Linked DNA regions of Oryzias latipes. The protein of the gene in region 6 purifies or fractionates together with the protein of the main gene of each other region. This does not show direct contact. Links are inferred from orthologs where the notes say so. Each region holds a gene or a part of one and is shown on either strand. Other genes may lie near its edges.

Evidence for each region.
Region 1: the proteins of syntaxin-6 (region 6) and vti1a purify together in Homo sapiens (affinity purification with mass spectrometry; 3 studies listed by BioGRID and IntAct, counting the BioPlex papers as one, with this or other methods). This does not show direct contact. The link is inferred for Oryzias latipes from reciprocal best matches to the Homo sapiens genes STX6 and VTI1A.
Region 2: the proteins of syntaxin-6 (region 6) and vamp3 purify together in Homo sapiens (affinity purification with mass spectrometry; 5 studies listed by BioGRID and IntAct, counting the BioPlex papers as one, with this or other methods). This does not show direct contact. The link is inferred for Oryzias latipes from reciprocal best matches to the Homo sapiens genes STX6 and VAMP3.
Region 3: the proteins of syntaxin-6 (region 6) and vamp4 purify together in Homo sapiens (co-immunoprecipitation; 5 studies listed by BioGRID and IntAct, counting the BioPlex papers as one, with this or other methods). This does not show direct contact. The link is inferred for Oryzias latipes from reciprocal best matches to the Homo sapiens genes STX6 and VAMP4.
Region 4: the proteins of syntaxin-6 (region 6) and snap23 purify together in Homo sapiens (affinity purification with mass spectrometry; 3 studies listed by BioGRID and IntAct, with this or other methods). This does not show direct contact. The link is inferred for Oryzias latipes from reciprocal best matches to the Homo sapiens genes STX6 and SNAP23.
Region 5: the proteins of syntaxin-6 (region 6) and napa purify together in Homo sapiens (affinity purification with mass spectrometry; 3 studies listed by BioGRID and IntAct, counting the BioPlex papers as one, with this or other methods). This does not show direct contact. The link is inferred for Oryzias latipes from reciprocal best matches to the Homo sapiens genes STX6 and NAPA.
Region 7: the proteins of syntaxin-6 (region 6) and snap29 purify together in Homo sapiens (co-immunoprecipitation; 3 studies listed by BioGRID and IntAct, counting the BioPlex papers as one, with this or other methods). This does not show direct contact. The link is inferred for Oryzias latipes from reciprocal best matches to the Homo sapiens genes STX6 and SNAP29.

The regions. Positions count from the first base shown.
Region 1 is NC_019877.2:9,985,238-9,989,815, forward strand, and holds the start of vti1a (vesicle transport through interaction with t-SNAREs homolog 1A), read right to left. Parts: upstream 3,196-4,578; 5' UTR 3,092-3,195; coding exon 2,998-3,091; intron 1-2,997. Other genes in the region: palmitoyltransferase ZDHHC6, read left to right, coding at 4,364-4,578. UniProt on the Homo sapiens protein: V-SNARE that mediates vesicle transport pathways through interactions with t-SNAREs on the target membrane. These interactions are proposed to mediate aspects of the specificity of vesicle trafficking and to promote fusion of the lipid bilayers.
Region 2 is NC_019863.2:28,602,676-28,606,706, reverse strand, and holds the end of vamp3 (vesicle-associated membrane protein 3), read right to left. Parts: intron 3,668-4,031; coding exon 3,509-3,667; intron 3,320-3,508; coding exon 3,268-3,319; intron 2,964-3,267; coding exon 2,947-2,963; 3' UTR 752-2,946; downstream 1-751. UniProt on the Homo sapiens protein: SNARE involved in vesicular transport from the late endosomes to the trans-Golgi network.
Region 3 is NC_019862.2:3,864,932-3,869,393, forward strand, and holds the start of vamp4 (vesicle-associated membrane protein 4), read left to right. Parts: upstream 1-1,550; 5' UTR 1,551-4,462. UniProt on the Homo sapiens protein: Involved in the pathway that functions to remove an inhibitor (probably synaptotagmin-4) of calcium-triggered exocytosis during the maturation of secretory granules.
Region 4 is NC_019880.2:4,946,959-4,951,435, forward strand, and holds the start of snap23 (synaptosomal-associated protein 23), read right to left. Parts: upstream 3,124-4,477; 5' UTR 2,995-3,123; coding exon 2,993-2,994; intron 179-2,992; coding exon 64-178; intron 1-63. UniProt on the Homo sapiens protein: Essential component of the high affinity receptor for the general membrane fusion machinery and an important regulator of transport vesicle docking and fusion.
Region 5 is NC_019871.2:5,028,391-5,032,986, reverse strand, and holds the start of napa (alpha-soluble NSF attachment protein), read left to right. Parts: upstream 1-1,569; 5' UTR 1,570-1,710; coding exon 1,711-1,808; intron 1,809-2,387; coding exon 2,388-2,467; intron 2,468-2,541; coding exon 2,542-2,658; intron 2,659-4,596. UniProt on the Homo sapiens protein: Required for vesicular transport between the endoplasmic reticulum and the Golgi apparatus. Together with GNA12 promotes CDH5 localization to plasma membrane.
Region 6 is NC_019862.2:1,649,554-1,653,507, forward strand, and holds part of syntaxin-6, read left to right. Parts: coding exon 1-3; intron 4-102; coding exon 103-197; intron 198-1,734; coding exon 1,735-1,794; intron 1,795-2,142; coding exon 2,143-2,271; intron 2,272-2,348; coding exon 2,349-2,455; intron 2,456-2,461; exon of another isoform or gene 2,462-3,954. UniProt on the Homo sapiens protein: SNARE promoting movement of transport vesicles to target membranes. Targets endosomes to the trans-Golgi network, and may therefore function in retrograde trafficking.
Region 7 is NC_019867.2:6,078,428-6,083,153, reverse strand, and holds the start of snap29 (synaptosomal-associated protein 29), read right to left. Parts: upstream 2,839-4,726; 5' UTR 2,714-2,838; intron 1,017-2,713; coding exon 783-1,016; intron 674-782; coding exon 480-673; intron 1-479. Other genes in the region: phosphatidylinositol 4-kinase alpha, read left to right, coding at 3,081-3,179. UniProt on the Homo sapiens protein: SNAREs, soluble N-ethylmaleimide-sensitive factor-attachment protein receptors, are essential proteins for fusion of cellular membranes.

The DNA.
Region 1 (4,578 bases), on a different chromosome or scaffold from region 6:
CTCCTGAATGTTGTTAGCCTCACCCTGCAAAGGCTGTGACAGGTCCAACTTTGAGTGGGAAAGCTCACCTAAATTGCCTGGACCATTCTAAACTGGACCGTTCTAAACTGCTCATGCTGCACCACGGCCGCACAAACTGCCAGAAAACCCAAACTTCATACAAAAAGTTTGTTTCAAATCTCTGCTGGATTTGACACGTTAAACATCATGAAGCCAACATGTCTGTAGAAAGGCAGCATATGTTTTTGTGGTGGGTGACCGGCAAAAGGTTGCTTCTGGCAATGCCAAACCTCCAGTAGTGAGTTCCCGGCAGGCATACAAATACTCTTCAAAATACGCATGACTCTTCAAAGATATCACATCCAAACCAGAACATCTGTGTCATTATCAATTATAGGATTTTCTAGAAAAACAAATAATTAACTATGTCCTAGTTTGTTTTAGACAGTTTAAAGTGAGTCGTGTGACCCCTCCACAGTAGATCTGATTCTCCTGATTCACATTTAAAAGTCTGGGACAAATCTAGGTCAGAAACGGACAGTGATTTTAAACGTGATAGCTAAATTCGCTTTGTATAGCTTCTTTTCTTTAAGGTAGCTGGTGAAGGTGACGCTGTTTATCAAGACTACACTTTCAGACAGTAATCCATGCTTTCATCAGAAACTAAAATGGATTACTGTAACTTTCAGAGTCAGCCTCTTGTCCCTTCCGCTTCTTTAAGTGGTCCAGAACACTAAAGAGGGACCACGTCGCCCCAATTGGAGCTTTCCTTCACTGGCTGCCAGTGCATTTTGGACGTTAACTTTAAGATTCTTCCGTTTCATTTAATTTTTTTTAATTAACCGTGCCTCTTTGAGCCTGTCTCTCCCTTCATGCCAGTCAGTGCCTCATGGCAGCTGACTGGGTTCTGATTAGAGTACAAAAGTTCAAGAGAAAGTTAAAGGAGGAATGGGCTTTTTCAGTCTGTGCACCAAAGGTGAGGAATGCCTCGCTAAGCGTCCTCACAGTCTATTTATAAAAAGCTTCTGAAAACTTTTATTGCCAGGCTTTTGCCCATTAGACGCTGCTCTGTTGGTGTGTTTTATTTTGACTGTGTTTTTATTTTCCAATATTATAAATATTTTACTATTTAACTTTTAAATTGTGTTATCATTTAAACTGTTGTTTTAATGTGTTGAGTTTCAATGAATAGCTCCTTGTTTTATACGGTCATAGTAAGACGCCATATAAATAAACTGACCGGTCTATTGCTATTACGCATTTAACCAGCAGTACATTGTTTCACATGTTCAGGTGAATTTTTTTAAGTTTTTTTTTTAGTTCTGTTAGATTTTTTACAATTAAAGACTTAAATTTGTATTCATTCATGTCTTTTATAATAATAATAATAATTCATTAGATTTATCTGTGCTTTTTCTTGGTGCTCAAAGCGCTAACAATTTGTCCATTATTCATTCACTCTTCATTCATACTTAATCATTCTTATAATATACTATATGCTACTTATCTGAAATCTGCTCACACTATTTTGTGACAGTTACAATATGAACTGCATATTATTCCGTATAGGCTGCAATATAAGTGTTTCAGTGAGGTGATCCATATAACTGCCGTAGTAATGCTTTCTTATACAAACAAAGCAAAGTGCCATAAATAAAGTGACAAATACAATATGGTCTTACTGTGAAACACAAATTGTGACCAACACATGTCCTCCTCGTGCTTTGACATAATAAAGATGTGCAACTAATTTAAAATATGCTGTAGAAATGTCTTCATCTTCATGGATATGCAGGGACATATGTGACAAAGAAGTGTTTAAAGTGAGATAAATATGTACAGTGTCTCTTTTATTGCTTACCATGACAGTGCAGTTCATATTTTTTAAGTAAATAATATGATTAGGTTCAGACTTCCAACACTATATGGTTTGATTGTTTTATGTGAACTAACTGAGGCATGTGTACAATATAATCATTGTCTTTTTGCATCATATCCCACTGGGATTAAAAACCTTATGACATATCACAACAACTTGATTTGCTAAGGGTATTGGTTTGCAGTTAAATCCTCAAAATTATCGTGAAAAGGTTTTCATTTACTACAGTAAGTTAACAGAAGTTAAGCAATAGTTGGGAAAGAAAAACTAAATGCATAAATAAGAAATAGAGGCTTAAGAAGAATTGATAGAAGTGCTTTCAAACATTGGATGTAAAAGTCTAAAATGGTGACTATTTGATGGTAGTAGACCACTAAATATTATTAAAATGCACGTTCCACTTTGGATCTTTTGTTTTCATTTGAACACATATGCTCTCTTGTTATGTTAGTGACATTTTTAGTAGTGTTGAAACCCATTCTCAAATTAGTGGAGTAAATACCCTGGGATATAAATTAAACTGAGTACTTTAAATAGGAAAGTACATATGTTTCTAGTCAATTAAATGAAGCTTAAGTACACAATTATTGATGATGTTAAATTTTAAAAGTGTTTAAGATGTTAGAATAGTAAAAGAGAATAGAGATTATCACAGTTCTAATACTATTATGTAAGTTGACAGAAAACAGGCAGCAGCTATGATGGGTTAGGAGTTTCTTGCCATCTGTAGAATCTAGAAGTATTTTTCTTAAATATTTTAATACTTTAAAACCAGTTGCTTAAAGCTAAAGAACAACTTTGGTTTTAAATTATAATCTTAAAATCTATAATATAAATTTGACATAATGTTTCTATTTGACACTGGCCTCTACCATTAATTTATTATAACCACAGGTAGTCGGTCACTTGTTTTTGTTCCTACAGAAAGAGCACAGTAACTGAGTCACACGGCGAATATAAACGTGTAAATGTATCAACATAATATATTTATAACGATTTCAAACAAGTTAGAGTTAACAATTAAAGCTACACCTTCTACTAGAACTGAGGCTTTCTTGCTACTACTAGCTAGCCTGCCAGCTCATCATTAATTGACGCTAAAATGGTAAAAGTCTTACCTCCACTTAGTTTGGGAATTCTGCCGATTTTATTTGTTAACTCGGCTGTAGTCGTTCCAAAGTCCTGCTCGTAGGATTCAAAGTCTGAAGACATTTTGACCAGTACGTTTAGGTAGCAAAGTAGCTCTAGGGCTGACAGTTAGCTCAAAATAATAACAAGCTTCTTCCTTGAGTCACACTAAAAGGTGTCCGGCTAGGAACTGGGTGTTCTGTTGGCGCTACTACTGAGAGAGGGTTTCGGAAAACTATCACGCCTATCTCTTTGTTGTGTTATTTAACAAAACATATATTTTTTCATTTTGTTTTAAATTTGATCTGACTGTTTGTAGTTGACGGATTTTCAATCCGAGACGCAACTAGGAAGGTTCTCAGGGCACATAGGGGAGGAAAACAAAAATCCGAAGTGCAAGTGGTAAGGTTAAACTAATTTAAAGTGACAGCTTATTTACTGAAACACTATTCAATGTGTTTATTTCTACGTAGCTTTACGTTCGTGTGTCATGTTTGATTCATCTTTCTTTTTTCGAGTTTGAAATGGTTTTCCTGTCAGTGCTGGTAGTGGAAGATGGTGAACGAGCTAGCTAACTAACCAACCTCACTTCTTCGCTACCTGCTGCATGCATCTACTCTTAAGCCGAAACATGTTTATCTAAACAGCCAAGCTAATTACAATTTTGCAAGATGTTAGTATGAATGTATGAATTCCTGATACATAGAGAAACTTGTTGGAATTAGCTTAAAATGTTGTTTTGAATTTGCTAGCTAAGCTTGACTTGACAAGCTAATTAGTTGTGCATGGAGTTTCTTCTTCTTTCATTCAAAGCTTCACCCTTCCAATATCTCTGTTTTTAAAAAACAATAAAACGTAATTAATTTGACCATTAAAAGTGTTTTCATTATAGTTATGTCGTTCTTTAGAATATATAGATTTCTATATAAAGATAGGAGTCAATATGTGACCCACAACTACCTGTTTTCCAGATAAATAGCACCTATTTTGCATATATAAAGAGGAAATATAGCCTTTTCTTTTAGCACTCTATGATAAATGCTTGTCCCCTTTTTTTCTCTCTTTCTCTCCATCAGATGGGTAAACGGACTCTCACAAGGTTCCTGTGCTTCAGGATTTGAGAGGGGAGCATGCTGCGCTCTTCAAGGGCAAGACACACCGGGACACGGAAAGGCCGGGTGACCACAGACCAGGGATGTAGTTGGATTCTTGAAAGATGAAAATAAAAATGTGTGCACTGCTGACTTTGCAAGATATAAGAAACAAGTAGCACACTCAGGCAGAGTCCAAACATTTCAGGTCCCCAACAAAAAAAAAAAAAAAAGAACATTTTCTTAAGCTTCCAGTGGGACGAATATGAATTTCCTTTCAGCGTTAGTTCGATTCGAGAACCTCCATGAGGTTCGAAGATTGTGCCACTGGGGCCCAATCATAGCCCTCTCTGTCATTGCTATATGTTCAACCATGGCAATCATAGACTCAGTCATCTGGTACTGGCCTCTAGACACCACTGCAGGCAGCATTAACTTCCTCATGCTCTTAAACTGGACTGTTCTTATCCTTTACAACTA
Region 2 (4,031 bases), on a different chromosome or scaffold from region 6:
TAGCTCGTGGAGTTAGCAAGAGACACTTGAAAATATAGTTTCTGGGGTTAATATATTTACCTTTTTCGGTCCAATTCGATCTGAGCTTCAAAATACAACAATTCCACAAAACGACGTCCCGGATAGAATCAAAACATTAAATGCTTTTAAGTTTCCCCAGAGAAAACGTCATCCATTCCGAATCGCTTGACACATTCGTGCAACGTGAGTTTGGCATCGCGTTAACTCCGCCCAGTCTACGCTAATTGGGCAGGCCAAACTTACATCTGGCGCCTGATTGGATGGAGACAGTTGTAGTGGGCGTGCTTATCCCCATAGTTGTTGGCGGTTCACGTGGATCCCCATGTTACACAACAGGGTGAAAACATGTCAACTGCGCAGGCACCAACCCCTATGAGTCTACATCCACGCCCCTGCAAATGCATAATTATGAACGGAGCCGCTGCTTTGACTCTAATAAAGGATCGATCGATTAAAAGATTTAAATATAAAAAACAAAATAAAATGGAAGATTCCTGACATTGCACACAGAAAAAGATTTAAATTAAGTTGTGTTGCATTTCATAACTAAAAAAAAATGAGTTTGTAAGAGTTATCTTCTCTGCAGGGACCAAAATCAAACTTTAGCCATCTTCTGGAAGTGAGGAGACATTTCTTTATTGTTAGACTCCAAACAAAAAAGGAGGGAAAAATATATATATATTAGAAAAGATTAAGAATTTCCATCTCCCAAAGAGAAATAACATGAAAATAATTTAGAAATGACTTTATTAGTTTTTATTCAAACGGATAATTTAGGCCACAGAAGAAAATTGCACTTTTTTTCCAAACATATTCCCAGTAGAGTATACATTGGCGAAGCTCATGAGTTAAATGTAAATTAATTGTAAGAGGGAAACAGCAGATTAAAAATAGGAAAGCATGTAAGTGGTTAAAAAAAGGCATATAAGAAATGAAATGAAATAAGCATTTCATTGGTCTAAAGGTTTTATTTAAGGCAGCAGTTTATCTATATTTGATAGAAACAAGGAAAAAGAAAGAGCAAATCAAACTGAAGATGAAAAAACTAGATGCTCTAAAAATATGCATCAAAACATTAACATTTCAAAATGAACAAAACCACAAATCCAGTGTTGGTGTAAGAATGAATACCTGAACAGGGGTAGAATGTCAAAAAGGCACGGTATCAGTAATTATCTCTGTTGGGAAGACTTTCAGACTGGTCTGAGTTAAATCAGACCTTGAAAACCTTTTTTTTTTTAGTATTTTAAAATATGGATGTTCTTGTTGTTCTCAACGCACCATCAACACGAGACAGTGTTACAAATCTTTGAAAAATGTATAGTTGCCCATTAAGTCTGTATGAACGCTGAACCGAAGGCTTCTCATAAGTGCAGTGCCAATGAGGCGTTTCCAATATTTGTAAGCCCACCTGCCCAGTTGGTCTATTTGTCTTACAGACCGTCCTCTAAAAAAGCATTACAGCACCGAGTCGCCCTGAACTGAGCTGCATCGTGCAAGTCCAGGTTCATGGTTTAAGTCTGGGTTTGCCTTTATATTTTTACTTTTAATTTACTTTTGCTACACCTCAGTAACTTTGAATTTAGTACATTCGTTATGAACTTTTTATGCAGGTTTCATTTTTTATTTAATTTATAATGTCCTTGGTAAAGATAATATTTATATATAAAGAAAATACATATTAGTAGCAACATCAAAGTCCCCACCAAGAAATAAAATAGGTGTCATATTCATTGAGTTATTGAAAAATGAAAGCAATTTAATAACAAAATGTAATATTACAAATATTTTTTCCAAAAACCAGGTTCACTTGAGTTAATGAATGCAAGGCTTAAGCACATTTAGAAAGGCACTGTTGTTTTTTAAATGGCAGCAGTTGGAATATGGCTGTATTTTTGGCAGTTCTTCTTCATTGAGAAAAAGAATATTATTTTAAAAGCTACATTCTAATACTGTTATGCCTCGATATTTCACACACAAAAAAGTGTTGGATACAATCTAGAAAATGGATAATACGTTATGTGGACTGTTGTTATTTTGAGGCTGCCCGAGTCGGGCTGTTTGGTCTCGGCATGCAGGCACTCGTTAAAAAACAAGTTCAAACCAGCTGCACAGCAAAGGGAGTGGTGTCCAAAATAAGCTGAAGAAAGACAGGAGTGACCACAAGGTTAGTTAGCATCCTATTGAAGAAGATTTAAGGTTAAATTTCTTTTTTAAAAGAATTTTCTTACAAAGAAATGAACTGTGTGGAAAAATGAAGCGACGCATTAGATTTAGCTATTCACTTCTGAACTGTAACCATTGCCAAAGATGGCGATATCTAGAAAATAAAAGGGAAGCCCTGCCGTTAAACGTCTTTAAACTGGTAAGAAAATTAGCTCTAAACCCTACCAGAACATCTTTGTAGGCATGTTACTTTTTTAGCCTTCCAAATGTTATACAATGCTATTAATAAAATGTGAAAATGTAAATATATACCGAGTTAAATTTACAACAATAACCTTCATACCAGTCTTGAAGTTCAAATCTATGTGTGTGCATGCTTGCCATAGAGTAAGGGTTTTTATTTCTTATAGACTTTAGAAGAGTTTTACTTCTTAACAAATTTTTTGTAACTTTTCTGGCAGTTTGTTTTGGAATGTGGTATAGTTTTTTTTTTATTTTAAAATGTTCTGATGTCATCCATGGTGCATTCTTTTAAAGGTGTGGAACTTTGGCAAACCTCAACTCTGGCACAACCTTAATACACGTACATAAATTCAAAACAAAGCAGGACAAGGAATGAAGACCCCTGCAGATAATTCGTGTGGAGGTCAGCAGCCACCAATGTGAGATATTCTTTGTGATTTATGTGGCATGATGTTCACACACTGCCCCATTTCTCTGCTCTTCATCATGGCCTCCACGTCTCATCCGCTGGCTGTTTTACGTGCTAGACCAAACTACAAAGAAAAGGATAGAAAAGTTAAGACAATGCATTTACTGGGCATGTCCTTCTAAAATTATAGCCATTTAGAGCAACAAAGAATTATAAATATTTAAAACATTGAATATTATGGCTTGTAAAAGAAAGATTGTCACAAAAAGTCAGTACAAATTATTTTTTGTATTCAAACATAGTTGTTAAGTTGTAAAAAAGGATCGAGTACAACCTAAAAATATGCTGATTTGACAGATTCTTTAAATCAGCTGACATAAAAATACTAACAATTCTGACTTTTTTTTTCCCGATGTCTTGATACTCACTAATGATGATGACGATGATGATGACTATGACAGCTATCAGGATGGCCCACATCTGCAGGCAGAGAATCGAGCGCCACAAAAATTAAACACATTTAGGCAAACAGATCATTTGTCAAACAAATTCGGTTAATCTGTATTATTATTGCTGCTTCGATAAAAAAAAAAAAAAAAAAAAAAAAAATCAACAACTGGTGGTTTGTTGAATCTGTGAAGTACAGTTTGGGGCAAAACTGAGAGTTACCTTGCAGTTCTTCCACCAGTATTTCCTCTTTAGCTTAGCAGCACTGGTCTCAAACTGGGAAGCTCCAGCTTGCAGTGCATCTGCTCGGTCATCCAGTTCCGACAGTTTCTGATCACGTTCCAGCACTTTGTCCACATTAACACGCATGATATCCACCACCTATGAAGAACAGACAACAAATAAAAAGCAAAAAAGAACAGTTTGATGTGCTTTTACTTTGGATGTTATGCAAGAAAAAATGTATTTGAATTGTCAACTACAAAAGATTTTGAACGAAAAAAAGATTTTTGTTTGTTTGATTCTAACTTTCTAACCTGATGATACAACAGGAAAAGCAAAACATTCGTATTACGATGGCAGAGTCACAACGTGTTTACAAGTTAGGTTAGAATAAGATGGAGACAAAACACTAGTAATCAATTTCTAATTTAAAAAAAAAACTGACCTTATATTAATAATAAAAAATAATCTGACAAACATTCATGTCCTTACTGTGTTCTATATGAATATGACCTATATGTTT
Region 3 (4,462 bases), about 2.2 Mb from region 6:
CTGAAGGCCTAAAAATATCTGAATCGTGTTAATTATTCACGTGTTATTTTCAATGCTTTTTACTTTCTGTAGTTGCAAAAAAAGAGATTTGTTTACGATTTTGTTTATTCAGTTTATTTAGAGGCATTTATCATGGCTACAGGAATTATCAATACGCAACGCAAAGCTCGTTTCTGCATCGTAAAATAGTTTATGCGGTGTTGAGTGATTCAGACGTAGCACTACTGAAAGCCCAGGGCCCTGTTCCAGAAAGCAGGTTATGTGAGCTACCACAGTAAGTTTGAGGCTAAGGAAGTTGATAACCTCAGCTTTCAGTTCCAAAAACAGAGGTATGTTTCAGGGTATGTCAAGTTGCCATGGCAACTCATGCTCTGAACATAACCTGGTCTGGAGCAGGTTTAGTTGAAGGTTAGTTTGTTTTCAGAGAGGTGAAGCAGCATGGCGTGTCCATTTGAAGATGATTTAGTGGATGAAGAAGCTCAGATAATACTTTTTCCACAGTGAAATGGTGATAAGACCACATATGGATGTTGGAAAGATAAACTTTTTTACTTTGATCTAACTTAATTATGTGCTTCAGTTAAGAGAAATCATTTTTAAGTCAGCTTAAAAATAACACGTAGTTATCAGTTATTTTACTTTCATTCAAATTAATTCAATTAAGTAGGTGTAACTTTGGTGCTGCTGTTAGATCGGCACCGCAAGGGATTGTGGGATACCATTCACTTTGCCTGTCTGGACGGATTTGGGTTCAAGTGTGGTTTTTTGACAAAATGTGTTTAGTTGTTTAGCTGTTTTAATGTGTTTTACCAAGTTATTTTACCCTGTTATGTTTAATTCTTTCAGCACCATGAGGGAGAGGGAGGAAGAGGATCACGAGTTTATTTAGAACCTTTACTGCCCAGTGGAGGAATATTTAAGTCAGAGAACAGACTTCATAATGTGGTTCCATTTTGTTTCATTCATTTTATTGTTATAAAAATGAGAAAATCTGCAGCCTCTTAGACATAGGAGAGTTCAAGAATTGCAATAAATTAAGATTGAAAAACATTTAATTAAACTGGAGTAATATGATATTTAGTTAGATAAATATGTAAATTTGAGTTGTAAAAAGAAATATTGAGTTGGATAGACGTAAGAAATTAGGTTGAATAAAGTAATAAGTAATTCATTTAAGTTGGATAAGTTATATATATATATGCGTCACAAGAATAATAGAAATAAGATCAGAAACTATTGCTTTTACTTTGTCCGTTATTTTTCTGCAAGCAGAAACTCTTTTTTTTCCTTTTTTCTTTTGATGATGCAGCCGTGTTACTTTTTTGATGGGTTTATAATCTTCATACGCCGTCATTAATCTCAGACTCCGTCTCACTGAATTGTAGCGCTCTCTTTTTTTCACCACGCGTTTCCATGGTGACTCCGGAAATCGGTGATCCATTGAGAATGTCTTTATGTACTTGCTGTGCACGTGCATTAACCCAGGGTTACCAAGTCGAGCGTAATTACGCTAACTCATATCCGGTCTTTTGGAACCAACATACCCAGAGTAAGCAAGTTCAGGCGGATTTCAGCCAGAGTTCAGGATTAAAGTCAGGGTAGTTTTAATATGCTCCCTGGAATACCCCCCTGGTTATCCATGTCTGGGCGTCCTATTTTTATTTGGTGCACAGGTCGAGACGCCAAGATGGCAGCACGCACTCTGTCTGTCTGTTAGCGTCCTGTGAATGAATGAGTTTATTTTTATTTTTTCTTAACGACTTTTAAGCTATTTTAGATTATAATTTATAGTTGTTTCTGGCCTTTCTGAGAATGGTATTTTGTTTATCAATTACCGTGCTTGTTTTTAGAAAGGCTAGCTCCGAAACTCTGTGAGTCAAAGCCTACTCGATTCATTAAGACCCAAAACCAGGGTTGGTTCACTGATATTCGAAGGAACGCTCCATTTTTTATTTTTATTTTTTTTATTTTTATTTTTTATTTTTTCGACGATCATGAACTGTATGCGGTCATCATGAAGATTATCACCGGGTGATCGTCGCTGGATTCCTGGCGTGACTAACCTTGACGGGCCTTATACTTCATCAATTAAGGGAAGTCCCAATTTACCTTCTATCGAAGCTGGCGCACTATTGTATATATTTTTGCCAAAGTTGAGATGCTGATGCCGTCCTGCCTTCCTAGCACCTGTGTGATATGCCCTATCCGAAGCAGATCCAGGAGCGCTTGGCTGGTTGATGAGCTTGCTATCTTTGTGTGAAGGAAAGTGCTTGATTCAACCCTCGGATCGTGTGATCTATACCCATTTAAAGTTGAACTAAGCTTGGGCAGTAATTTCGCTCTTTTTGCCCGCAGCTTTCAAGCTCCGTGTTCCTTGCTGTTTGTGTGGCACGTCACGGGAGGACGTCTGACAAAAAACAAAACAAAACAAAAAAAAAAAAAAAAAAAAAAAAAACGGCTCTCGGTGTATCCCGAACTGGATTCTGGCAGATATCTGGACTGAAGGCTGCCATGGCCAAAGTTTTAAATACCTTCCTTCAAAGCCCCCGGCAAATAATATCAAGGGCTGAAATATTCTTCCTGCTAACATTGGCCTTATATTCCATCGGAGACTTTGGCATTGCCGTAGCTCTTCGGGAGTCAGATGACTCCCGTCCAGTGAATCCAGTGTGTTGTGTATTTCATGCTGGAACAAAAACTTTTATTCATGAATGTCATAATGCATACGCATCTGTGTGTCTCTCAGACAATCCAAATGAACTGCTGCACCTCAGCTGTGTAATGGTTCTTCAGAAGAATTTTACTATAAACTCTACTATAGCATTCTTAAAAACGTTCCCATCTCTAGGACCTTCAAATGCAGTATGTAAGAAACCACAACTTCAAAGACGCCTCATCTTCTTATTGTTGTTAATCTCCGGGAATATTCCACCAAACCCTGGACCAGATAGTCCTACTTTTAGTACTCCTGAAGACTTCAAATCTCGTAATGGTCTTGGATTCATTCATCTCAATGTAAGGAGTTTATTGCCTAAAATGGATATGATACGCATTTGGGCAATTTCAACTGAAGCAGATGTAATTGTTGTTTCTGAAACATGGTTAAACAAATCAATAACTGACTTTGACATACATATCAATGGTTATAATGTTTTTAGGGCTGATCGTCCCAAAAGGGGGGGAGGTATAGCCATCTATATCAAAACTAAACTTAATGCAAAAGTTCTTCTGCAAACATCAATGGCAAAGAAATTTGAACTTTTAGCTCTTGATCTGGAGATCTCTAATTCTCTGCATATTACCCTAGTTGGTTGCTATAGAGCGCCCTCTGCTGATGGCTCTGCTCTTCCCTCTTTAATGGAACTGCTGTCTTCCTTAAAATACAATGAAGTTGTAATAATTGGAGATTTAAACTGGAACTGGTTGCAAGCTGTTTCTGATGATTTTAAATCTTACTGTGATTCCCTGAACCTCTTTCAATTAGTAAATGATCCTACTCGACCTAACCCCAAATTTCCGGAGAAATCCTCGCTAATTGATTTGATTCTTACAAATTCTCCTTCAAAGTATTCAACTGCTGCTGTATTTGCAAATGATATAAGTGATCACTGTATCATTGCTACATCGAGAAACACAAAAATGCCCAAAACCAAACCACACATTATCATAAAACGCAATGTCAAGCAATTTTGTGAACAATCCTTTTGTCAAGAACTATATGAATTTGACTGGCACACGATGATGGAAATTGATAATGTTGAAAGGGCCTGGAGTTATTTCCATAATGAATTTACAAAAATCCTTGATAGACATGCTCCTATCAGGCACTATAAAGTGAAAGGTCGTAATAATCCGTGGTTTAGCTCAGATTTGGCTAACCAACTACATGAAAGGAATGTAGCATGGGCAAAAGCTAGACATTCTGATAATGCATCTGACTGGCTGGCATTCAGAAAACTACGCAATGCTTGCACTACTGCAATTCGAAATGTGAAATCTGACCATTTTTTGAAAAATACTACAGAAAATTTAAATAATCCCTCAAAGTTTTGGAAGATAGTTAAGTCCCTAAATGAAAATAATTCAGGTATTGAGCTCCCTTCAAGTATAATGAAAAACACTTGTAATATAACAGACAAGACAGAGATGCTTTTATGTTTTAATGAGCATTTTGTTTCCTCTGGATCATTATTTAATTCTATAAAACATTCAGCTGAGTACTCCCTCCCTGTGAATCACGAAGATTTAATACATAATTTCTCATTTTCCCTCTTCACAACTTCAGAAGTCTCAGAAGCCCTTAAACTCCTTGATCCTACTAAATCTGCTGGTCCTGATGATCTGGAACCATATTTTATAAAAGCGGCAGCAGACTCTATCGCACTTCCACTGACCTATTTATTTAATTTGTCTTTGTCCACAAACACCATTCCGCATGCTTGGAAGTCCGCTTATGTGTTAC
Region 4 (4,477 bases), on a different chromosome or scaffold from region 6:
AGCCAGAGAGAAACAGAAGAAACAGAGGGACGGAGCAGGAGCAGGAGTGTGAGGAGTCAGCACCTCATCCGTCAGCTGGTTGGCCCTCAGAGCCATCTGTTCCACACTCATGTCCTCCATGTTGCTGCTGTCTTGTTTGGGGGCTCCTCCCGTGGCACCGAGCTCAATATGCTGAGGCCTGAAAGAAGGCCAGAGGTCATCAGGTACTAATTAGTATCCCATCGATTACCATAAAGCAGACAAAGAGGACCAACTCTCAACTGCTGAGCAGGGGACTATGGGTGATGATGAAAAAAAAACAAGGTGAATGGATTGGACAAACATTTGAATTTAATGACGTTTTAATGGAAAATTTATTTGAATGACATGACTTAAAATTCAAAGCTCCAGAGAAAATAGTATAAACATTTCTGTTGAAAAACGTGTAGCTCCCAAATCCAGGCAATGTAAACAGGATGATAGTTAAATATAAAACCAAACTGTATAAAACAAATCCTCATTTAACAAATATAAAACGGCTTATAAACGCTACAGTAACAGATTCTAAACTGCTAGGTTTGTTTCCTCACATAAATAATCACAGAAAAAAGGTAACAGGATCTGAAAAGCTGTAGTGTAATACTCTATTGTATTTTAAAGGATAGTAATTATATTAAAATCTACTATTCTTATTGTTTTCTTTTAAATAAGGAGTTGACAGTTCCTTTTTAGATTTTGTGCAACAACACAAACTGAAAAGATTCAGACAAATAGAAGAGTTATCATCTATGCACCAAAACACAACTAAATGTTGAGAAAATGACTCAAAAACAAAGAGTTTGAGATAATACACGTCATCTCGTTTGTTCAGAAGTCATCTGAACCCATACGGATGGAAAAACGGGATGCAAAACCTAAACAAATGGCTTTTGTTTGTCTTCTAAGGAGTGTTAGAAACAAAACCACAATTCCCCCTGATAAAATGTGGAGATCTTAGCAACAATGTTAATGAATGCAACAATGAAGGATCCAGAAAACTGACATGAATATGAGAAACAACAGACGTTGAACTGTCATGATAAGATACAATAAACCATTTCCAAAAATGTAAAAGTCTGACATTATAAAGGGTCTTTTAATGGCATTTTGAAACCTTGGTGTGGCTAAAAATAATACATTTTACAGTCATTACAAACTAAAATGTGTTCCTGTGAATGCAGGCCAAGCGTTCAGTGTTCAGACATCTCAACTTTTGAAACAGAGCGAGCGCTGAGAAAGTAACAGGAAGCAGGAAGGGCCGATCATGCCCGCTCACTGCAGGCTGCCTGTTCTTCATCTTTGCTTTAGAATATGAACACACATGTTAAACTCAAGGAAATGCAGAAGATGGTTTTAGAAAACGGTGATGCAGCTCACAGTTGTAAACACTGTTGAACAGCCTAGAATGATTTCCACACGCGAGTGCGGTCATGGGTGTCATTTTCTTGGGGTTTTAAACAATGGTTTATAGAAAATGTGTTCAAAAAAGCCTCCTTAGAGACACATGGTTAGTAGGAGAAGAAGTTTATTGTAAACTAAAATTAAAAGGTTTATTTCAATAAATTACAGGGAAAAATAATTCCCACCTTATGGGTTTTACATTGGAGAGGTACAAAAAAAAAGCAACCAGGCCGGAGGATTTCCTATAATCTGTCTTCCTGTCCTGTTCTGTCCTGTCCTCCCATCTTCCCCTTAAAGTTGACGTTTTCCTGTTTTGCAAATAACCTTTAAACTCGCTTCGCTTCCCATCAAAATCTGCAGCCATCCACAGAAAATAAAAATCAAGATGAAAGTGTACTTGGCAATACGTTCTGCTCCTAAATGTTGACTTATGCTGTTTTTACCCAACCCGAGAGGGTATAATTCAAGAGGGCACATGTTTAGTGTAAACTTCAAACAGATTTCTGAATTTGGCTACAACAATTTACACATAACAGTTATGGGTTTAATACCTGCTGCAGAATTTTAGCTAAAAAAAAAATGATTTGCTGGTAAAGATTCAAAGGTCAAACTGTTGGGATGTTTAGAATTCTTCCCCAAATAAATATATATTCATAAATATTCAGCTTTCAGGGAACACAAAAGGGTCACAAATTAAGGTAATTATGACGAGGCATAAATATTATCACACACAAAAAAACCCATTAGATCTAATCCATGTTCCCACAAACTGATTTCATTTCCTGTTCATGAAGTAACCCAGGCATAGATTTCTGCAGAAAAGGCCACATGGGGAATAATGCAACACTGACAAACCCACTCATGTCACTTTCTTCACAGCAACAGCAGCAAATGAAATGACCAAGAAGAAAACAGGAGAAAAACGTTTCTTGTTTTTCAACCCAAACCTGTTACTCCAGATCTTCATGAGCCTCAAAGTGACGTCTTCTCTTGCTTTAAGTCATGCTTGGTTCACACTTTAACCATTTTCCCTTCATTTCAATGCCTAAATGTTGCCTCTTTTTTCAATTTAAAACCTCATTTCTACGAATAACTCAATTTTACCACAATTGCAAGGACTTGTGTTCACAATTGGGAGTTAAACTGAATTTAAAACCAATGACATCATGGTTCAGCGTCGAAACTGAGACTCTAAAGCATGAATCTTTATTTTACCCATTTGCAGATGAAAGAAGTGGCATTATTACGATTTTTGACCCAGTTAATGGTACAAATCTGGAAGTAAAACACCCCAAAATGGTTAATCATTTCCGTATTACATATTTAACAAGCAAAAGCTAGTAGTTTTGCACCTGACCACGGTTATCTCTCAAGAAGCTGAACCAGCAGGTAAAGCAGATCACCTGACAAACAGATGATGTTTGGTTAAATGGGTAATATTAACCAAACACTCCCAAACCTTAGTTTGAAGCAAGGGGAAGTCATTCAAACAACACAAAACTCCACATTTTCACACACAAGAAAACATAAGAGTGAAACAGACAGTCTAAAAAGGTCTATTAATTCGTCTTACATGGTTGGAAGGTTTGTAGTTTTTCCTTAATCCAGGAAAGCAAACTTTTTCTCCTAGCTAACGTGTTGCTAGCCTGCTAATAGGCTAGTTCCGCTTCCCTGTCAACTTTCCACCCCAACTAAGTTGATGTGAACTAAAGTGAGACGTTTGTTGATACTCAGTACTTACTTTCAGACTCCCTTCGGAAGAGATAAAAGAGTTACCAACTCCTCCTTCCTTCTGGTATGTGGACTTTTCGCTGGTCACTCCTGGATTCCTTCACAGGCCCCACAGTGAAGTGAATAACGTAACCTATGACGCCTTTGGGTCTCGTCGGAATTAACGCTTTTCTCAAATACACGTGCTTTTAGTTATCAACAATGTACGTGTTATGCCGCGAAAAGTTATTTCATAGATATTAACACAACACATTTTTTAAAATATAGCGTATTATAAATATTATCTAACATTTTTAAACGATGATTAGCATTTTTTTACCATTTTTAAAGGTTTTCTTTGGCACCGTCCCGTCTTTCATTGTAACTGTCACAATATGCTGCCTTGAATATACATTCAAGTACACACATTTTACTTAGATATGACTTTTATATCAACTTTATACCATTTTCCGGGTTGGTTTGAAATACGAGGATAAGAAATTGTTTGGAGTTCCATTTTCCTACACACCAAGATGTCATCACTACACTGAAACTTAGGTCACGTGATCAGCCCAAACTTTGCTGATTCAGTTCATGGTGATAGTAAAAAGCAAACTTTACCACATTTTACTACTCTTTTTGATATTTTGTTCCCTATAGCGGTTGTTGTAAATGTCAGCTGTTGTTTTTTTTTTTTAAATTATTAATCTCGCTTCTCTTTTGTGTTATATTTGAGTTCATTTGTGGTCAATGTGTGGTGCTTTTTGTTTTGATAACTTTTATGTAAATTTGACTCATTTTTTTATTTCATATAAGTAAATGAAAGATTTGTGAGATGAAAACAGGCCCAATGAGATCTCTCTCTCACCTAAAAAAATGAACTTTTAAAATAACATTTATGTTAATCTAGGACCATTTTATTAATCTGCTTCATGTTTTATGCAGTTTTTAGTGTTTGGACAGCATTCTTAACAGTTTAAAAAGCTTCACACACAAGCTCCTGATGTCCTGTTACAGACTCCAGAGGAAAAACATGGCACTGCTCTGTTTCCCCACATGAGTGCAGCATTTACCCTCCACCCGTACCTCCCCCTCCCATTCTGCTTTGCATAGACGCAGACAGCCAGATATATTTCATAGTGCATTTTAGAGATGGCCTGAAACCTGAACCTCTGGCTTTGAATCTTCCGTCTAATTCTCAAGTTTAATGGTTTACACCACAAAAGCATTTTCAAGGTGACTGGAAAGACAGCCACAATATCGGCTGACAGAGTCTAAAGGAAAATTGTTTTTCTATCCCAACCTCAGCTAAATATTTTCCCTTGAGGGGTCACCTGAAGTCAGATAC
Region 5 (4,596 bases), on a different chromosome or scaffold from region 6:
TGATAAAACACAATAAAGGAAAAAAGATCAAATCTATTCTTTCAAGACAGAAGGTACTATTGATGTGGGTTTTTTTTAATTGGAGAGTTTTGAGTTGGGATTTAAAGGGGGATATAGAGTCCAGGTTTACCAAAGCTTAATGTAATCTTTGGTTAGTAAACAAATTTACAAAAGTAAGACTTGCTGATTCTCCTCATCCGCCCATCGTGTAAACCTGTCTCATCTCTTTTGAGGTCACATGGTCAACGGAGCCTTTCCAGTGACTGTCAGTCAACCGATGGGCGGGTCGCCAGTCCATTGCAGCGCCAAACAAAGATACATTTACACAAACACTCCCAATCACATCTTGGGACAATTTAGAGGCATATTATAGGATGCAATACCAGGAGAGTACCAGGAAAAACAAAACAAGCTAAATTAAGGAAACTCTGCATAGAAAAAACCTGGCCAGGATTCGAACTCAGGCCTTCTCACTTTGATAGCAGACTTTTTAGCCCTCTTAAGCCAGTGATGATAACAAGTCAAGAGATCAAGTCAAATTTGTAATCTACAAACCAACTGGATAACAATTTTATCCCACATTAAAAGTCAATAAAACAATCAAGAAAGTGCTGTCTGCAAATCTGACTGAGATGTTAATTCTTCCATATTTGGTTTGTGTTCTTTCATAGTCCAAAGGCACCATTGTGTCATGGTGTCCCTGAAATGCAGTGGGACAAAGGATCCCTCTTTAGGGATGACACCCTGAAAAAGACTCAAGGCTAAAACCCTGTGACCCAACATGAAGTGTTGTAGAAATAAAAAATAACAATAAAGGAAACAAACGTTTATAAAAGGGATTGAAAAACAGACCAAGAATATATATTTAAAAAAAGTACGAATAAAGAAATAAAAAAATAGTTTTTCCCTTACTACATGTCAAATAAATTTAAAAAAAATTGTTGCAAACTGACTCCACTCTGTCACTGATGCACGAACTAAACATGTCCAAAGTAAACCATTTTCTAACCGTCAGAGAAAGTTTTAGAAATTTACAAAAGTTTTGGGGGACATTTCTGTTGTTTTTTTAGATGCAGAACAACATTTTACTTTGCAGTTCTACATAAGGGGGTTTTCTGTTGGGTACATATTTTTAAATCAGAATTTTAAGTTGACCCATTAAAAACCCCAATATTATCTCAAGAAGCTGTGTAAAATGTTTTTTTTCCCATCACGTTAAAAGCAAGACGCAAATGGTAAAGATATGAAAATTGTGAAACTGCTGTTTTGCAAGTAACACTATTGCACAATCCAAGACCCGACATTTAGGAAATACATAGTAAAAGTAGGAGTTATTTGTTACTTAGCATTTTAGATTTTTTATTTTTTAAGGGTCTTTTCATTTAGTCATGTTAATTATTTAATTTTGGTAAATGAAGGTGTGCAACAAACAAAAACATAAAGTTTTTCATCCCGTAAGAACAGATTGTAATTGGTATGTTTCTTAAAATATTACTCAAGGTTGGGGGAAATAGTATTAAGTGACACAGAAAAGTCTTATTTACAAAGAGTTCCTGAATGCAGCAGGAGTTTCCGTTCTCCCGTGTCACGTGACAGGGGAACTGCTGGTCTGTAACTGGTGATGTGACGACGCAGCTAGCAGCAGTTAGCAAGTTTGTTGACTTTTACATTTAGGTATTTGTCCACAGATTTAAGGGACAAGGCACGAAAATGGACAACAGTGGGAAAGAAAAGGAAGCGGAAGCTTTGATGGCGGAGGCGGACAAAAAAATAAAATCGTCGAAGTCGTTTTTTGGGACGCTGTTTGGGTAAGTTTGTCAGAAAGCTAGCGTAAGTGTTAGCTAGCTTTTCTAGTCTAGGGGCCAACAATGCGGAAGGTGTCTGACTAAGCAGTTATCACTCCGTTTGTATAGCGGAACTAAAGAATACCTTTAACTCTGAGTGGTGAATCTTTCATTTAATTTTAGTTTTGGGTTTAAATGATGCTGTTGTGTCTGTGATGTTGTTACGCCACCATTCCCGGGTTTTCTGCCTCGAATGTTTGTAAACAGCATTATTGTCATTCACAGCAATTGCCTATACCCGCTCTGTTAATGACTATACTTAAAGATTGTTGTGTTTATGTATTAACTTTAAATTAAACGGAAATATTGTTTTTGTCTCAAGTTCAAAGTGTACTTGTGCCGATGCTGCAGCACCACCTTCCGGAATAAAGGTGTACTGCAGATCACATGTCAGTCATTGGTTTACAGCCGCACATTTGTGTTTTCTATAAGATTTAAGGTGGTATTTACACTTAGTCTGCAGAGATATATTGCATATTTATGCAACACGGTTTTAACTTCCAATTTGTCTTTTTTTAAATGCGCGTGTATGTTATCTCACAGGGGTTCCTCCAGGTCGGAAGAGGCCTGCGAAATCTATGTGAGAGCAGCCAACATGTACAAAATGGCTAAAAACTGGTCTGGTAAGTGTGTAACAAGCCCCCCTTCTCCCCGCTGTTATCTGTAAACACCTTAATCTTGCAACATTTCTTTCCAGCTGCAGGAAATGCTTTCGCGCAGGCTGCTCATCTTCACCTGCAGATGCAGAGTAAACACGATGCAGCAACTAACCTCATAGACGCTGGAAATGCCTTCAAAAAAGCAGACCCCCAAGGTAATGTTCTTCATTTCTGTGGGTTTATATATTTATTTTTTAACTCTCAAAACCTGTTCTGTTGTTGTGAGAAATTACACTGCTTTATAAAGAGCTTGCTTCATTTATTTTTTTAAAATAATTTTTTCAAGAACAAAAAGGTTTTCATTCATCAAATGTGTTGCAAATCAAATAAATATCCACATAAATGTATGTGGACACGCATTGCCTTTTAGGGATGCAACTGTTCGTTTTCTTCCCTATTTGATTCAAACCTCCATTTTTGGGTCACGGTTTTGTTTTGGTTCGATATTTGGTGTGTGCATTGCAAAAACAACTACAAAAAACATAGAGAAACATTTTTTTTAAGTTTGCTAATAAGAAATGAAAGAAAAAGCCTTGATTTAGCTTATTCTAAGCCTGGTGAAATGTTATAAAACAATGTCAATAAATTAAAAATAGCAGATCACATGTGTTTGACACTTTCACTATAAATATATGCAAATATATGCTGCGGGGATGCAATATTTCATTTTAAATTGTGTAATATACAGTCTGGTTTTAATTGGATATATTGGGCATCCCCCATTTAAGAGCAGATCAGATGAAACGGGTGTTTTTAATGTTTTTTAACATGTTATTCTGACATTCTTCTGATCATGGAGGACTTTAATGAAGCAAATGTGCCATGAGAGATGGTCATGTGTACTGTGGAAAATTAATTTTTACTGATATGTAAATCTCCATGATATTAGATCTGTGTTCATCCGAACAGGCCCTGATAAAACACTGAGTAGTTAGGAATATGAAAGATCATAAATATCTGTAGCCAAAACCAAAACAGTTGTAGGGATATTACTGGAAAATGATTGGTTCCTCTGGGTTTTTTTTAATGCACAACTACCTCCATTTCCACTGTCTCCTCCTTTCCTGCATCAACCTGATATAATTTGTCTGACGGGCTTAGAGGAATACTGTGGGAATCTTATTTAGCAATAACAGGTACCTGTTGTTGCTGGGGGGGGGGCTAAAACTCCCATGGAGGATGGAGGAGTTGAGCTGCAGGCAGATGTGAGTTGTAGGGCCTATATATCATGCTATTGTTACGCCTTTCAGAGTAAACTTTATCCATATATGTGATCATATATTACCTTTGGCACACTAAAGAATTATTTTTTTGATGAAATATGATGTATTTTCACGGCTCTTTTTCCTACTGGAAGTAAGAATTAAGGAATTCATATTTTTTATTAATTTCCTTCTATATTCTTTCCCATGAAATTTAACGTTCGGTGTGTGAAGTCCTGACTTTACAATTGTTAGGAGTTTGATGGCTAACTAACCATCTGGTTCAGTCAGTAGTTCTTTATTTTGCTGGTGACATGATTGGACTTGTTGTCATGCTACAGGTCAACTCACACATTCCACCTTCATCATCGCTCCAGGAAAAGAATGTAAACGTTTCCATCAGCGTTGCAGATGCATCCTTTCACGTTTGGTGTCGTTTACATGCTATGCCCATTTACATCCTTATCCTCCAGTCCTGTAGCCACTGACTTTTAACTCTCATAATGTGCCACCCTTTTGTGTTCTTATTGGATCTGTGACTCTGTCTTTTGTTTTGTCCTGTTTTATGTTTCCTGCCTAGGGACTATGGATGCAAATTAGCATCATTGCTATAATCCAGCATGTTTACGCCTATCATTGTTTGATAGATGTTCATTAATGTGCACTGTCCCTATTAAATAAATAAAAATAGACATCTATTTTTCGTCTACACATTAACTAGATCAACCTCAGGTCCTTGGGTTGCTGTCAAGTGTTTATCAAAAACTTGACATTTCTAGGTTTTACACCTGCAAAAAAAAAAAATATATATATAGAAATGGCTTTGATGTGATACAGAACTTGCTTCCTCGAATATATGACAGGTTGCTTTGAATATGCAAACATTGGAGA
Region 6 (3,954 bases):
TCAATATCCTTTAAGGCTCACTCTCTTTACACCTCCCTGTTTTTGGGGTTCTGGGATTGGAGCTCAGCACAGAGAAAGCATGTTCCTTAACACATTGCAAACGCATAGTAGAGTCAAACCCAAAGAAGTTTAATCTGGATGCAGCGGAGCTGTCAAAGAGGAAGGCCTTCATCACCAGCACCAGACATATGGTCAGGGTAAGCCTCCGCCACACCTCAGATGTGAACTCGCTTTGGGAGGAACCCCAAACGTCTGCAGCACGGTGGTCTGGTTCCCTTCGGTTTGGTCAGTCTGGTAGTTCATTGAAATAGTTGAAGACCAATGGCTCCTCCAAGTACAGCCCTCAAAGATTTTAAAAGTAGAACTCATCACATCTGGAGAGAATGGTGGCCTGACGCTGGGCAGCATAACAGACCCCTAAACTAAAAAGATGATCTTTACTGTTCAGCTGTTTGCACACATAATGAATGATTATCCTTTAGAAAGCATCCCCTCCACAGGAACACATTTGGTCTGGAAAGGTTTGGTTTGTTTTTTAATAGCAGCAAAGACATCAGTGGGATAATGTCACGTGTCACGATTCCCTAACAAGGAATACTTATTCTAAACAAAACAACATGTTACAGCTGTCTGAATGGTGGGCCTGACAGAGTAAAGAGGGAGTTTTGTTGAGTCCATCTAAAAACAAAAAACAATACAGAAAGGAAGGCCTTCATAAAATCAACTTCAGTGATTTTACAAAAAATAAAGCACAAAAGATCTTTCAGACAAGACGGTAAATATATATTTTTAACGTCTTATTTTAACACTATATTTAACTGAAAGCTGATTTAGTTCTGGGGAACTGCAGCTTTTTCAGGAGTGCTTCAGATTTACGAGGGGGGGGGGGGGTGCTATAGCACAGTTTACATCAGAAATCTAACCATACATGCCCCATTAGTTATTTTCTTAACACGGATCAGTTGTCTTGGACTCCTCCCCCCTGGCGCTCCAAACAGGAAGTACCCGCTGGTTTCAGGAAGTCCCATAGAGCCTATAGAGAACTAAACAGCTGTTATTCAGTCATCCTATTGGCCAGAAGAACCATTCTGGATCTGATACCTTTTTTAACATCTTCTTGATAATCCAAATTTAGTATTTTGTATTTAAACTTATTCAAGTTACAAACGGACCAATCAGATGCCTCAATAAAAGTAGGAGGAGCCTGCTGGCCCCCAGGTTGAACGTTTGACAGATTTTCTGTAGCTCACGTTTAAGTGTTTGGTGTGAGTGGTTACCATAGAAACGATGACTCAGACCAATCACTGCATACTGTTCCAACATGGTGGCGTTTGTGTTGGGGAAAAAACGTCAACAGAAGGAAGTAACCCATTTTCTGTAGATGACGACACACTTCTCACTCCTGTTCTCCTAAACAGTCAATAGTTTTGAGGGTTTTTAAACTTCAAACAAAAACTTTCATCACTTTGAATCCAAGCTTTACTATAAGATATTCTTAAGTGACATGAGAGGACAAAGAGAACTTCTTATTTCTGATCAAAATTTAAAAACCTGTTTACACAGAGTGCCATATAATTATATCCAACTTTTTTTTCATAAAATACATTTTTTTAGTTCTGGTTCATCGCTGTTGTTATAAGAGTGAGACGCCATGACCAAGTTTTCTGTAATGAACCATAAATCCATGTATGTGACGTCTTCACTTCGTGACATAGTCTGCCGTTTCTTTTCTAGGAGATGAAGGAGCAGATGTCGTCTCCAGGAACGGCTTCCTTGGACGGGAAGAGCAAACAGGTACCAAGTCTCTCTCCTGGTTAGACAAATGCTACCTTTGACAGAGGATGACATCATGAAACTTTGTCCTAAACTCCAGTACAGCGCTCCCTCGTTTATAGCGCGAGTTACAATCCCCTGCTATAGTTGTCATCCACAAAGTGGGGGATCTATTTTTTACAATAAGCACAGATGCTTGAAGGCAGTAAAACTCCTCACTACAGACTTTATCCCTGATATCTCTCCCCTGTTTTGTCTCTCATAGTTGAAGTTTACATTTGAAGGCAATTACAGGCCTCTGAACCCACACATTTAATGGCTGATTGAACACTTCTGTTGCTCCACTGTATGCTTTTCTTTTGTGTTCAGGCTTTGCTCGGTGAGCGTGGAGCTCAAGGACGCATATGGCAGCCCGGTTCAGACAAATACCGCCGTCTTGACCATCAGCTGCAGAGCGCCAACAGTCAGTTCATTGAGGAGGCACAGGTGCAGCAGCAGGTACAGACGGACCGAGAACAGATGGGGGCATGGAGGTGATGCTGAGCCCAGACCAAACGCTGGTGTGTGTGTTTCAGCTGATCGCAGAGCAGCAGGACGAACAGCTGGAACTGGTGTCTGGGTCCATCAACGTTCTCAAGAACATGTCTGAAAGAATCGGCGTGGAGCTGGACGAACAGGCTGAGTAAGAACCACAAGCTGACCCTTTAAACACATTAATGCCAAATATGACATCACCCATTTGCCAACGTCAACACCTGATAATGGCTGACCGTTTATGAATCTGCTGTGTTGTGATGGTGAAATTGTGGATTAATTATAAAAAAATAAATGTAAATACTTTTTTTAATTAAAAATAACAAGTCGTTCAAATGCAATGCATTGAAGTCTTCCAGATTTTGGAATAGTAGATTTGCCCAGCACTACAGAAAGTGCACTGTGTAGAGAGCAGTGAAGGAGTTCAGTCACAGTCTAGGGGTCTTGATCAGTGCTGCTCACTCCTGGTCGTCCTACCACCCCGTCTAGAAAACCCAGTTTTCTACATCTCTAATCCCTGCTTGGTTAACTCAGTCAGGTGCTTCCACATTCTGATTGAATAAACACACCTGGTTCAGGTAAAAGGTAGCATGATTCGGTTCATTTAGAAATGAAGGACTCAATGTGTTGCTGAGAGCTTCAAGACTTACCAGATAACAGCTGTAACAGAAGCTCACTTCAACAGCATATAAACAGGTCAACTTCGGTACTATATGTGTATTACACAGCAGATGTTAGAAGGAGCCACAAAGTTAAATTGTTGCCACAATCAAATAAGGGAAAAATAATTACAATTTTGCCCCTCTCACGATGCCGTTGTGGAAAAAGGGCTCATCAAAATCTGGTTTTGGTCCTTCTTTGCCAAATTCTAGTTGTTAAGCTATAAAGACAGGAACTGTTAAATAACAAATTTCTTGTTTTATGGTAATTGCACATCATGTTCTTATTGTGAAAGGGCCGGTTGGATGGGATGGGTCGTTGTTGTGTTGATGATGGTGGAATGAATAAAGAAAACGTTACGCTGCGAAGTGAATTTCAATTTTGTTTAACATTGGTAGCAGGGGATGATTAGCAACTACAGAGTCCTACAAACCTTTGACGAAGGAAAACCGTACAAAAGTTGGAAAAAATAAGTTGGACCCGAGTTACAGACCTTGAAAAGAAGAAGCAAGCACTCTCCGTTCCTTTGGCGCTTTCTTCTGGGCAAGCGAGAGACGTGGCGATAGAAATATCAAAGGAGGATTTGCTCAAGGACACAGGACACGTCACTAATAAAGCTAGATGATCGGTTTCTCAAAGAACAAAGACCGGACCTACTCAAGTTTGGATAACGAGAGACAGTAATGTATCCGTGACGGATTAGATAATTGATTTTGAACAGCGGTATACTCAAATGTGTACATACAAGAGGGATCTTCCGGATGCAGTATGAGCATTTTGTTATGTGTGAATAGATTTAGTGTCTCTTGGATGCTGTGCTTGCTGAGTACAGCAAGACTCATCTCTGTCAGCAAAAGAAAAAGATCTGCTCACGCCCAAGATTGGACAAATTCTCTGGGTTGCAAGGCAGAGTCGACCAAAAGTCTTGTTTGATGCTTTAAATCCATGAAACGAATAGAACGGTGTGCAAACTGAAATCCAGTGAGG
Region 7 (4,726 bases), on a different chromosome or scaffold from region 6:
TTTATTCAAAAGTTTCTTTAAAAAATTAAGAAATTGAAAAAAAATTAAATGTATTTTTAATTAGTTAACTTTACAAAACAATATTTTTTTATTCGAAATATAAAGCTTTTTTTGTAAGCATTTTTTTTCAGAATTGTCAATCTTTTCCCCCCAAAACTGATTTAAGACTTTTAAAAACAGACTAAAATTTGAGACAGAGATCACTCTCTTGTCTTGGGGGTTTTGAATATTATTCCTGTAAATGTAGGACAAGATTGAGCCTGAAAGGTGTTAGAAGTGAGTAAAAATAATCACCAAACACGTAAATGACATGTTGGATTCTCTGAAAAGGAAAGTTGTGTTTATAAGAAGCTGAAACCAATGTTAAATAAGTAAGGTAAGAATATTTAAAAAGATTCTGGATTTCAATTAATGTTAACTGTAAAATGATGACAGTCAACAAGCACTTCTAATCTAAAGAAGAAATAAGTAAAGCGTACCTTTCATTGGCCTGGTAGGTCGTTGGCTCCTCAGCTGGCGGCTTTGTCTCTGGTTTGCTCTTAAAATAATTGACAAGTCCTCCCCATACACTCTTGATGCTGTTGATATGTTTTTGGCTGGTCTTGAGGTCCTGATCCATGTTGTCCAACATCTTGTCGGTCCTCTTTAGAACCTCACCCTGACGTACCAGCTCCTATGAAGGAAGATGAACCAGGTTTCTCAAACTGCCGCTCTCTCAGAAACATTCAGAAATGATGTCTGCATTTGAATAAATCTGATTTTATATGATTAGATTTACACACTTCTGCAGTTTCCACACCCATCTTCTCTGATTCATAGATCAGGCCAAGAGAGCGGTGACTGCTGTCCACAGCAGATTGAGCTGTACGCATCACTTCCTGCTGCAGGTACCTCTGCCGCCTCTGTGCTTCAGTCAACCCATCATCGGGGTCATCATCAAAACCCCTGCTTTTAGGCTTAAAATCTTCCTCATCGTCATCATCTGCAAATGGATTGTGGGATTTAGGGTAGGCCATCTGTAAAGAAAAGTCAGTTCAGAAAATAAAAAAAGAAAAATAAATTAATCTCAGCTGCGCCTCTCATTTCACGGCATCAAAAATAGGAGATGAGTGGTAACAAGTTACATTTACATAAGGAACTAACTGTAAAAGATGAGTTTCATAACACTCTTACTCAGCTGCAGTGAGTTTCTTAATTGTTTTGTTTGTTCTAGTTAAAAAAGCACAATGACTTGGTTTTTACAACGGCAGAGAACTGCAAAAAAAAAAAAAAAATCCACCATTATAAACATAATAAGGCTTGGTTTTTGACTTTATGGCCATAACACATCAGGGGATCCTCTATCAATATTTTGAAATATTACAGACAGAATACTATGTGTAAAGCACATTAAATATAACATATTTAAAAGTCCAATTAATACTCATAATTGGACTTTGTTTATTAACTAAGTAGAGACATAATTTTATCAATTCTAAGAAGGATAACTGATATAATTATTGAATTTGGTATGCCCAATTTATGATTTTTGACAATATCAGATTTTCCAGTGTCATAAAACTTGTCAATCCAAAGCAAGTAGACCTTGCTAATTAATATCTCACTGGAAAGACAGGAAGCTATCAATAAATCTCATTGTTGCCAAAAAGATTCACCAAAGACATATTGTTCTTCCATTTGGTTAGTTTAACAATTTATTTTAGAATCTGGAAATAGTAGTATTTGCTCTTCAGTTTACCCTTTGCTTTACTACGGTAATTTCCATGAATAGTTAAAGTAATAATTAATCCGGTGCTAAGTACTCAAGCAGAATTTTTCACTAATTGTTTTACCCTACTAGTCATTCAACTATTTACTCGAGTAAATAGTTTAATGACTAATGTTTCCTTTTATTTGAGTTTTCTTTAAGTAATTTGTTATATTTAGACACAAGGTATTTCACTAGAGTAAACAGCTGTTTTTCTGTGAGAAAAAAAAAGCTTTAGGCGTATTTAAACTTTTTGAGCACATCTATGATAACTCTTATTCATCCAGGACGCTGTTCCATAGCAGAAAACGTTTGAAATTGGTCACTAAGACATAAAAAACAAAATGTTTTACATTTAAAAAGCTAAGTTTAAACCCTACTCTACTGAAACAAACGTAAACAAAAACAATAACAACAAGAAAGACAATATAATCAGCAAACTGCTAAAAATTATTGATAAAAAAAATAAAGCTTTCACAACAATAAAAAGTGGTGGGGGGGGGGGCACAAAAATGAAACAAAAACATTTGTCATTTCAGAATATGGGGGGGGGGATCGATCAACCAATTGATTGGTTAGCAATTCAGACAGTCAGACAGTATTGCGTAACAAACTTTTCGAAGAAATATTATTAAAGGCTAACTGGTCCTCATGTTGCAAGTTTTATGAACAAAAAACATACGGATGATATTTTAAAAGAATATTATCATGTTTTTTTCATTTACTTAACGGCCGAAGAACGTAAAAAAGAACGAAATGAATGATTTTTGATATAAAACTCGAGGGTGTTGTCAGGCTGCTATCACTCACACAGACCTAGCTTTTCTAGAAAGATCATAAATAAGTCAACAAATTAAAAAAAATACAATAAAAGCAGCAACAAAACAGAGTTGATGGTCATTCTCACACGACACACTACAGTTATAACGACACCGCAAAACTGTAAAGAAAACCAACTCGACAAACCTTCGATGATTTTGTGTTAATATCAGCTGACAGAAGAGAGCGACTCCTCTTCCTGTTACGTCAGATGACGTCACCGCGTCCAACGGTCAATCGTCCGCAACCAATTCGCAAACTAAAACATAAAGTGTTTTTATTCATAAAAAAAATTGAATAAATAATTGCTATTACACAATTATGTTTTTTACTCCATTTCACCCAGAATAATTTATAAATAAAATCCTTTTTTAAAAGTAAAATACGCTTTTGGGAAGTATGTCTTCTCCCGGCCGCCGTACTGCGGCTCTCCCAGCTCCCAGTTGCAACGCCCCCCCCGCCTCGAATCCTCTCCTGATTGTATTCATTGCTCTGCCTTCATGTAGGGGCGATCATGTCTGTGATAGGAGGTGGAACGAGAAGCTTTTATTTTAACACAGTTCTGTCTCTGGCTCGATCTCTCGCCGCCCAGCGTCCAGCACCGCTCGAAAAGGTACAAACGAAGGAACCCGGGTGTAAATTAGCGTTATTTGGCCAAGTTGGTAGCGACAGTCAGTTGGTGGTGAGGGTGTTGCTTCGCTTCCGCACAGGAGGCGGTGTCTTGTTTTGGTCCCAAATATGACAGGCAGGCTGATTGTTTTTGACGGATCTGTTGGGAATCGATTGCGTGGCGGCGTGACTGCGGGGTTTGTGTGAGTGGAGAAGGAGGGAAACCGAGGGCACCGGGTCCCGGTGAGGCGCCCGGTACCGCGTCAGGCGGAGCGGGGCTTTCACAGCACTGCAGTCAAACAGGTTTAAAGACTGGAAAAAGTTGATTGTGTTGACAAGGCGAAAGGACAACCTGTTGACACTGGAAGATGGAGCAAAGGAGACGAGGGGAAAAAAACGTCGAGTTTGATCATTCTAATGGATCATCACTTGGAAAATACATCATGATTATACATCACTGATTGATTCCACTTTGAACCAATTTGTTACGGTTTTAACATATGTTGGTATTTAATTTAAAAATTCGCGATTTTATTAATGTTTACTTGAAGTCACTATGTTCTTAAAATTAAATAACACTTTTTATAAATGGAAATAATTCATCTAAGTAAGTTGAAATGGAATTTATTGTCGTTTCTTGTTTAAATAGTTTATAGGTTGAATAAGGCAGATAGATGCTATTTTATCACCATAATTTTGTTGTTACACTTTCCTTTTTTTTGAGTATCAAAGATTGCAACCAAGTAAGTAACCAAGAAACATTTCAGTCGTCTTACTTACCGGTAGTCTTACCTGAGTATTGGCTTAACCAGACATATTAAATTTCCAGTTAAATTTAAACCACATTTATTCTGTATTTGTACTCTTGCTTGTGTAGTTTTTACACTTTGTTTCTAAGTTGATTTGCTTTTCTCTCAGGAACGTCACATTTAATCATCAACCTACCCACCTGTTGCACCTTATGTCTTGTGTGTTTTGTGTCAAAAGGGTGTATATTTTTCTGCATTGTCTGCAGTTTTGAGATGCAACGGTTTTTGGTGACCAATACCTTAACCATAGCCTCCTCTTGTAACCCATCTACACCCGTGCTATGAATGGAGCACAGTTTCTCAGCCGCTGCACAGTCAACCTCAAATTATTTCTGTTGTCTGCCTGATCTCCTTTGGGTTGTACTCAAACCAACTTCAGTATTGGATGAATATCTCATTTGTGAGATGATTAAATATTTCATCACGGCCATGGTGCAGCGGTAGGGCGGTCGACCTCTGATCGGAAGATTGCAGGTTCGATTTCAGCCATGTGTCGAAGTGTCCTGGGGCAAGACGATGAACCCCACCTTGCCTCTGGTGGAAAGTTGGCACCAGTGTCTGAATGTGTGTGTGAATGGGGGAATGTGACTGTAAGGCGCTTTGGGCCTTCGAGGAAGGTAGAAAGCGCTAAAAAAGTATACGCCATTTACCATTTCTATCATATTTTATACCATATACTATTTAGAGGTGCAATGATTCATTTGGACAGCGATTTGATTCATATCCTAATTTGTGTTTACCG